Oryzias latipes: one gene and its partner. Each later gene encodes a partner of the first gene's protein in a complex. Links are inferred from orthologs where the notes say so. Each region holds a gene or a part of one and is shown on either strand. Other genes may lie near its edges.

Region 1 (4,553 bases):
ATTTGTTCTAGACTTTTTTGAAAATCAAACTTCCCATCAGATAATTCTTCAACATTTCTGACCAAAGAAATACACAAAAAATAAAATTATTCCATCTGTCAGTATTTATAATTTACATAACTTTTAATGTATTTTATGTATTTATTCATAAAAATAATATAAACATTACTTATAAAATAAATATAATTTTATTAGAATTTATATTTGTGCTATTTCTCTTTTTTTATGGCAGTCTGTTTAATTGAATGTTAATATCTGGCCTTCAACTAATTTGTGATATTTTTGCTATTATGTAAAATGTTTTTCTTGTTTCCTAAATCCTAAAATAAAGATAGAGGGATAGAGGGAAATTGTTTTACAGATTTATTTTTCTTAGTTATGTATTGTTTTCATTAAAAAATGTATTCACAAATTTTTTTATTATGACGTTATTGTTCTGGTTGAGCCAGTTTAGCTCGTGCTGGTTTGCGGCGCCTTCCGTCCGTGAAACCCAGGTTCGACTCCGGGCTGCTCCCTCTTCCCTTCTCTACCTCTGCCGGTTCCAAGCCCGGTTTGAGAAGGTTGCGTCAGGAAGGGCATCCGGCGTAAAACATTGCCAAATTTACCATGCGACTTGTTCGCTGTGGCGACCCCTGATGGGAGAAGCCGAAAGTGGAAAGGAAAAAATGACGTTATTGTTCTGGTTGCTTCTCTCTCGCCTGGAGAAGTTTGTCTTCTTCTTTCTTCTGGATGCTTCAGCCACACTTTGGCTTATGAGGAGATCTATAGGACTGAATGTGGAATATTGGAGGATTTGTGGATTTTATTTTTCTACTGTGTTGCTGCAACAATGACCACAGGAGAGAGGAGGGAGTTGGAGAAAGGCATCGGGTATCCCGGACAGAATGCTGCTGCTCACCTCTAACATAATCTGCATTTTACTTTTTTTTTCTTCATTAATCAGATTGGATCTTCAAACCTGTTTAAATTTCCTATTTTCGTCATTGTATTGTTCTATTCAACTTGGTTTAAGTATCAAATTGCAACTGTGGTTTTCTTGAGACATTTTACAAAAAGCAAATACATTCAACTAGGCTAAATGAATCATGATTTTTATTATTATAAAATAAAAATTGTGTATAATAAAGCTCATTTGTTTTAATTGTGTTTTAACAACAGGCCATATGTGTCAAACATTGTCTTGAAGGGTTTTCTTGATGCATATTCCTTGTTGCTGGGCAAGCAAAATTAGACAGTGGGAAGAAAAGAATTGCTATAAGGGGGGAAAAAATAGTAACCTCACATAGTTAAACAGTCTGATCATTGACTGAGAGGACAAGACAGAGACAAATGTGAAAACTGTGGAACATTTTACATTAAGCAAATATGTGCATTTGCTATAAATCCATATAAAAAAAAACTTACATTTGCATTCATTACTTGGTGTTTGTGCACTTTATTTTCCTTTTACTCCTTTTCCATGTTGCTTTTCTTTTCTGCAGGAAAATACAAGGGCTCTTCGTTTTATTTTGAAAAACCAAGCCGGATGTGCAGTTCAAGTTTCCCAGAACAAGCTAACTAGCTGGAGACTTTCTGGTCTCGTCAGCAACCGCAGCTAAATCCGCTGTCAGTTTTTGATTCACAGATAATGTCAGAGCAATGTTTAGCGTTCTAATGGTAAATAGAGTTAGAATCTAGCTTTTGTGAAGTTGGGCGGCCGGAAACTAGAACTAAATACTCGCCAAGGAAATGTTCAGCCTCGCCCACTACTACTAGCCAGCTTGTCACTCCTGAGCCGCTGACAGCTAGCCCATTAGCTGAGCCTTGCTGCTGCTGCACTGCTTTCACGAATTCACCTAGCAATGCAACTGAGGTAAGCTCCCCAGGAACGCGTCCATGATGTTCTCTCTCACAGACATGCAATTTTGAGTCGCCTTTCCGTTGAGCTAAACGGTTAGCATCGCCTTCTGCTAGCGTTATCCTGTTTGCTTAGTTCCGCTTTCGTCTCTGCGTTTGTGTTTTATAATATTGGCCGGATGGTGGTTCAAAAATATTCAATGACAGCTACTCGGTCCGTGTTGTGGAGGATGTTTCTCAGCAGCAGATAATCCCTGCGCTCCGTGAAGCCTCGATGGGAGCTGCTAAGTTCAGCTCAACACCGGTAGATGTAAACAAGTGTCAAAGCTAAGAAGCTAAGAAGCTAAGTGACTGCTAACCAAGTCCAAGTCTTGTGACCTGCTGCTGGATAATATTTACGTCTGTTTATTTATTTATTTTCAGTTTTTCTTGCATAGGTGCATGTTATTTAGTCGGTATTTTTCTTGCAAAATACTCATTAAGGTTTCATAAATGAAAAGTATGTGTTATTTTCTGCTTCATTGACTAAACGACATGTTTAAGCTTCCTCTGCAGGGGCTCCATTATAGAGAGATCGTGTTTGTTTTGTGCAGGTGTGTCTGTTAAAGCATAAGGATGGCTGGTTCCCAGTGGGACCTTCCCCCGGAGCTTTGCTGCCGGCCCATGGCTTTTGTGGCTCTGACTGGTCTGGATGTTGTGTACAATGCTGTGCATCGGGCCATCTGGGACGCTTTCTGTGCCAACCGTCGAGCTGACAGAGTCCCCATCTCTTTCAAAGTGCTCGCAGGAGACCACGAGTATCCCAAATGTCGCACCAAGGTGACGAATCTGTGCAAAGTTCATTTAAAAATATTACTTTTCTCAGGGATTAACAATCCTACTGAGATTTAAAGAAAGGAATTCATTTAGGAAGGTAAATGATTTTTGTTTTTCTTCTTAATTAGCGGACATCTTACGAGTGGTACATCCCCAAAGGCATCCTAAAAACAGGCTGGATGAACAAGCATCTGAACCTGGTTCCTGCTCTGGTAGTTTTGTTTTACGAACTGGACTGGGATGACCCGCAGTGGAAGGAAAAACAGTCTGAATGTGCGACGAAAGTGGAAATTGTCAGGTAGGTGATGGCGACAAAACTACATTTAACCCAAAGCTGTCAACGGGGGTGTTGCGTTGCAGTTTTAATCAAACCGACATGCCTTTGCATCAGCTATAACCTCAATAATGACATTAAGTCTAGCCAAACTTTAACCGTAAAGGCGCTGAGGAGACTGCACTGAGGTTTTGGTTGTGAAGCTATAGATTAGGTGGCACAAAGGTGTGAAAGTTCCAGTGGGGTGCAGGGCTGCATTCATGACACCACAACTCACCTAAGGGCATTCAGAGACCAAACTGACACCAAGAAGGAACAGCAGCAAAGGCTGGTGTCCCGCTAAGACGTACATAAGCACGTGCGTCTGTGGAAACGTTTGATTTTTTTATCTGGACGTCCTTTTAATGTGACTTTATGTATGAAAAAAAAAAAAACATTTTAAATTAAAAAATATACATTTATTAAAAGTCATAAATGAAAATGTGCTTCACTTAATCATAATATTCATTTGTTAAAACAGGATTGATAGTAATAAATATACATTAAAAAAATGTCTTGCCTCTCATAAAGATTTAATAAATTTACACGCACAAATGTCCAGTTTAAGCAAAATCACAAAGATTCTTTTGTGAAGAAACACTAATCAAGCATCTGAGATGAAGGGGGACATAAAATGTCACATTTACTAAATCATTTGATAACAGTTGTGTTCTTCACTGCACTGTATGTGTTGGAGAAGAACTGTATTGTTTGTCCTGTGGGTGGCGCTATCTTGGGAACCTAACATGTAAAATATCTGTAACTATGAGGCTGTGGTAGAATAAATTAGCTTTATTGTCATTGCACAAGTACAATGACAAATGGTTTTCGATTGCTGTCACCAAGTTAAATAATATGTCCTGTTGACCTAAAGAAATATTAGTTTTACTTGCAATGATGGACGAATCCGAGAATCTTTCTGCTGTGAAGAAAACGGCGTTTCGTCCGCAGAAGGCATCAACCGTTCCAAGACGCCAGTCCAACGCAAAAACGACAGGAGTGCAAAAACCATTTCCCCCTCAGACCAACGCACAACCAAAATACTTTTAGCTTTACTCACTACACGCTTTATCCACAGACTTGAACATTTTCACACTTTTCTCTCTTCTTTAAACTCTCAGAGGTCAAACCTTCATAGAAAAATAAGTCCAGGATTGTAAAATTTGAAGAGCTGCATGCATTCTGTACAGGAGACATGGCGTGGAGGAGGTTGATTGACAGTGGTCTAAAACGTATGTACAAAGTCTGGCCCGTGGGCCAAACGCAGCCCGCATTCAAGTTTCTACCGGCCCGCAGGCTCCTACCATAGAATCAATCATATCTGGCCCCCAGGACTTTGTAAGATTTGCAGTTCTTGGATGTGTTTGGCCAAATTACAGTATTTTCCGGACTATAAGTCGCCCTTTTTTTCATAGTTTGGCAAGGGGTGTGACTTGTACTCCGGAGCGACTTATAGTCCGGAAAATACAGTATGTAATAAGTCGTTGTAAACATGTGGCAACAACCTGTGGTTGCTAGATCTTAAGGGCCAAACAAGAAAAACAGATTTGTTTTTTTCTGCGGTCAAAATGGGATCACTTTTTTGTGT
Region 2 (3,819 bases), on another chromosome or scaffold:
ACATGGCTGTGATGAATGGCGCAGTGCTGAGGACCCAGTCGGTGAGCCGACCTTGTCGCGTGTGTTGACAGGGTGAGGTGACTCCACGCCCTCCTCTCCACCACACCGCCACCCGCGTTGATTGTGCCGCCTCTGGTGAAAGCAGATGCTGCTAATATCTGGTTTTGTGTCTGTTTGTGAGTTTGGATACTTTCTGCTGTTGTGGCTTGTACACATCTTTTTCATTTGTTTGCAGTTTTCAAATCCTAACAACCTGGAAGAAGGCCAGTTTTGTCTCACAACTCAAATACTGCATGAGCTCCAGGTTTTCCAAGAGGTGAAGTATTTTTGGAGATTAAAGATGAATCAGGGGATTACAGGAATATATCGAAATCCTCTTCATTTTTTAGATGATTAGTTGCCAGGTTGCTCCATAAATTATGGAGCTGAGACGATGTGTCCCTCTGATTATCATTTGAATCTGTAGGTAGCTAACAAAGTCCACGTATGCCTCCATTGATGGCCGTCGTGGTTGGACCACAGTTTGATCATTCTGTTTACTGACGTTCACCGTTAGGATCTCTACCAAGTCCAGCTTTGAACAAATCACTGAGATGATATGTCATCAGTTGGGGTTTTACAGGTTATATATAGGTTTCATGATGGAAGTTTTTCACTGTTCCCCATCACTCTCTTCAGTTACAGTGGCGATGCCTTTAGGGATCTCCAAGTCTGTGCTGACTCGTCCGAACTCCAGCAGCACCATTTATAATCAGCTCACAGGAGAGGTGGTTCTAGAGAACGCACACAACTCTCTGAATCGTGTTTGTCTGTGTTCTCTGTTTCTAACTCAGGTTTCTAACTGATGACGGTTTTCAGAAGAGCCGCTGAACCCAAGCGCTGACCTTCATTGCTGTCATTTTTTAACAGATTGTTCAGCAATCAGCACCACTTTTTTCTTTATCTGGAGTGCATACAGACGTTTTCCCCTTCGTTGTGGATTTTGCAGTGGAGATGAGCAAATCCATTTTCTGCTTTAGTTTTGAATAACTCTTTTTCTGTTGCTTTAACCTTAGTTTTATGTCCCCCGGTCACGCTAGTCTTAGAAACTTTGTTTTTGGGTCAATCAGTGTTGAAAAGAATGAAGACATGAAATGAAAAGTGCCCTGATGACAGGAAAACAAGGTATCCGTGCATTTAAGCGCTCTAAAAAATGTGTTGCTGTTGTTCCACCGGTCAGCAGGTCTCAAACATGCAATGCATTTGCCCCCTGCAGAGCAGCAAGAACTGGCGAGCAGCAGTGGATCTGACGGGACGGCTGCTGACAGCTCATGGTCAAGGATACGGCAAGGCCGGCCAAGCGGCGTCTCACACCACCGACTCTCTGCAGGTAGGATGCCAGCAGTTTCTCTGCAGCCATCCATCTCGCTGTCTTCCCGCCACTCGAGTGCTGTGTTTCTGTGGGCAGGAGAGATGAATGAAGCCAAGGCGCATGTTGTGCTGCCTAGTAATGCGATTACTTCTTAGTAGGAAATAGAACCCGTCCAGCAGTAGACCTAAGAGCATTCCTGGAACAAAATGTTGTTAGCTACCACACCTGAATAGTTAAACTATTTTAGAAGATGCCTGTCTGATTTAGAGACATGTCTAGAATTTTTGACTGAATTTGAATGCTACTTTCTACTGATTACTTTAAAGGGTCTATATCCTGCTTTTCTTAAGTCTTTTAGAGTAAACTAAATCCACATTTATGATCATATATGACCTTTGACCCACTAAAGAACCATTCTTTTGTGAAATATGAGTTATTTTTGCTCATTTTCCTACCTGGAACTAAGACGACTGGATCTCTGAGGCTCCGCCTTTCTCTCCTTGTGGGTGCCGCCCATTTCGTGACATCATCCTAGAGTTGGCCTCAGCATAGTGTCTGAGTTTCTCCCATGAAAACAACACATCTGAACATTTCCAAAGATGGATGTTCATATTGTTCATAAATGGAAGCATTTAGCCGATCACTAGCTCCACGGAGGAAGTGGGCGTGTGTGTTAGACTGGGGGAGGGGATTGCAGAAAATTCTCTTCCTGGAAGGGGCGGGTTCTCACTTTGTGATGTCACAATGTGACAATGAACCCGCTCATTTTTGTGGATTGGGAGGGGCTGGTCCTCAGAGAGCAGGTTTTTAGTGGAATACTTAGAAATGAGTGAATGGATCAAAGTACCACTTTGGGGTTGTTTTTCATGAGGAATAAACATTATAAATCACTTAAAAGCTCATAAAAGTTGACTTTGCATGATATAGACCCTTTAAATAATGATGCATTGAAACATTCAGGACGTTTCAGAGAGAACGCAGATATATGAACCTCTTTAACCCATTTCTATGTGAAATGTTTGTATGGAAAATGCCACAGTGGTGCTGTCTGCCTGATAACACCGGCTGGAAAATGGTTTTACCAACAGTTTAGAATGATTTTCTGTGTGTTCCAGCTCTGGTTTGTACGCCTGGCTCTGTTCACCAAGCTGAACCTTTTCCAAAATGCTGAGCTAGAGTTTGAACCCTTTGGCAACCTGGATCAGCCAGACCTGTATTACGAATACTACCCAGCTGTTTACCCCGGGAAGAGAGGTATGTGTAAAAACGTCGAACCTTCCCCCATCTGATGAGTGAAATTATATATGAAGGAATGACTTTCAAATTAGGTTAAAGACAGTGAGATTTCAAAGGTTACGCTCCTCAGTTCTACACTCAGACTTTAACTCTCGTCTCCTTTCATGTTCCATTTGTCTAAAACCTGCTAAATTCAAATGTTTGCTGAAAAAGTGTCATGAAGTAATTGCAGCACTATTGTTCTGCTCTCTAGGAGAATTTAGCCTCATACCCGCATTATTAACACTGCACCACAACTTTCTAATTAAATATTCACAGGAAAGTTTCTGCCAGGAGCTTCACATCAGACTGTATCATTGACAAACTTCAACAACTCTACTTGTCTCCAGCAGTTCTCTGGTTTTGTTTTTCCTCTTTTTACACTGCATGAATCGCTCTCTAATGTATTCCCATTACTTTGGATCTGCTTCACCCTCTGGCTACCACAATGAAGGCAGTATCAGAGATACAGCTGCACACACACACTTGTTCTTAAAAAAGAGCAGCGCTCAAAACGACATCGCACAGCCTTCTGACAAGCGCACCCATTGACTTTCCATTGCTCAATATTAAACCCTTTATGCCCACTGATTCCCCAGAGACAAACTGCTAAGTTGTGTAGTATAGGATCAGAAGTCCAACGTTTGTATTGTCTGATGCATGTGTAGGCTGTTTTTTTATCCCCAACAACCCTCTGTTAACGCGATAAAAGAAGGCTTATACCTGTGTCATCACCAAGAATTGAGAGTAACCCTTGTGCTATCTAAGGCCCTTTACCATTGGGAGTTGGGTCATCTAGACCCACTACTAGACAGTGCTCTGAACCTTTTTTCTCAAATGATTTGTGATCTTCACTGGTGTCCATGGATTACATGAAATCTTTCCACCTTTATCCACCTTTGTCATGGTAGGGAGAACACGTCAATGTAAGGGTGGGGTCATCTAAGATAGCACAAGGGTTAACTCAGCAAAAGCTTGCTCATCCCTCATTGTCTTGCTTTTGAAATAAAAACTGAGTTTAAAATGGACTGTTAAACAATGGCGCAGTAACGTCACTCAGAAATACACTCATTTAGCAGGTAAGCGTATAACAAACGGTAGTTTCAGTAAATCTTAGCAATAGTAATCAACCAACAAATTGCTGTTTCTGTTTACCAATATGCATTTCCAGCAGACTTTCTGCCTCTGCTGTG

What was found.
Region 2: trappc11 (region 1) and trappc12 share a complex: the UniProt entries of both Homo sapiens proteins name them as parts of the multisubunit TRAPP (transport protein particle) complex. The link is inferred for Oryzias latipes from reciprocal best matches to the Homo sapiens genes TRAPPC11 and TRAPPC12.

What each region holds. Positions count from the first base shown.
Region 1 is NC_019868.2:27,368,528-27,373,080, forward strand, and holds the start of trappc11 (trafficking protein particle complex subunit 11), read left to right. Parts: upstream 1-1,526; 5' UTR 1,527-1,852; exon of another isoform or gene 1,853-1,932; intron 1,933-2,429; 5' UTR 2,430-2,451; coding exon 2,452-2,655; intron 2,656-2,780; coding exon 2,781-2,950; intron 2,951-4,553. UniProt on the Homo sapiens protein: Involved in endoplasmic reticulum to Golgi apparatus trafficking at a very early stage.
Region 2 is NC_019880.2:20,778,768-20,782,586, forward strand, and holds part of trappc12 (trafficking protein particle complex subunit 12), read left to right. Parts: intron 1-1,255; coding exon 1,256-1,369; intron 1,370-2,466; coding exon 2,467-2,605; intron 2,606-3,819. UniProt on the Homo sapiens protein: Component of the TRAPP complex, which is involved in endoplasmic reticulum to Golgi apparatus trafficking at a very early stage.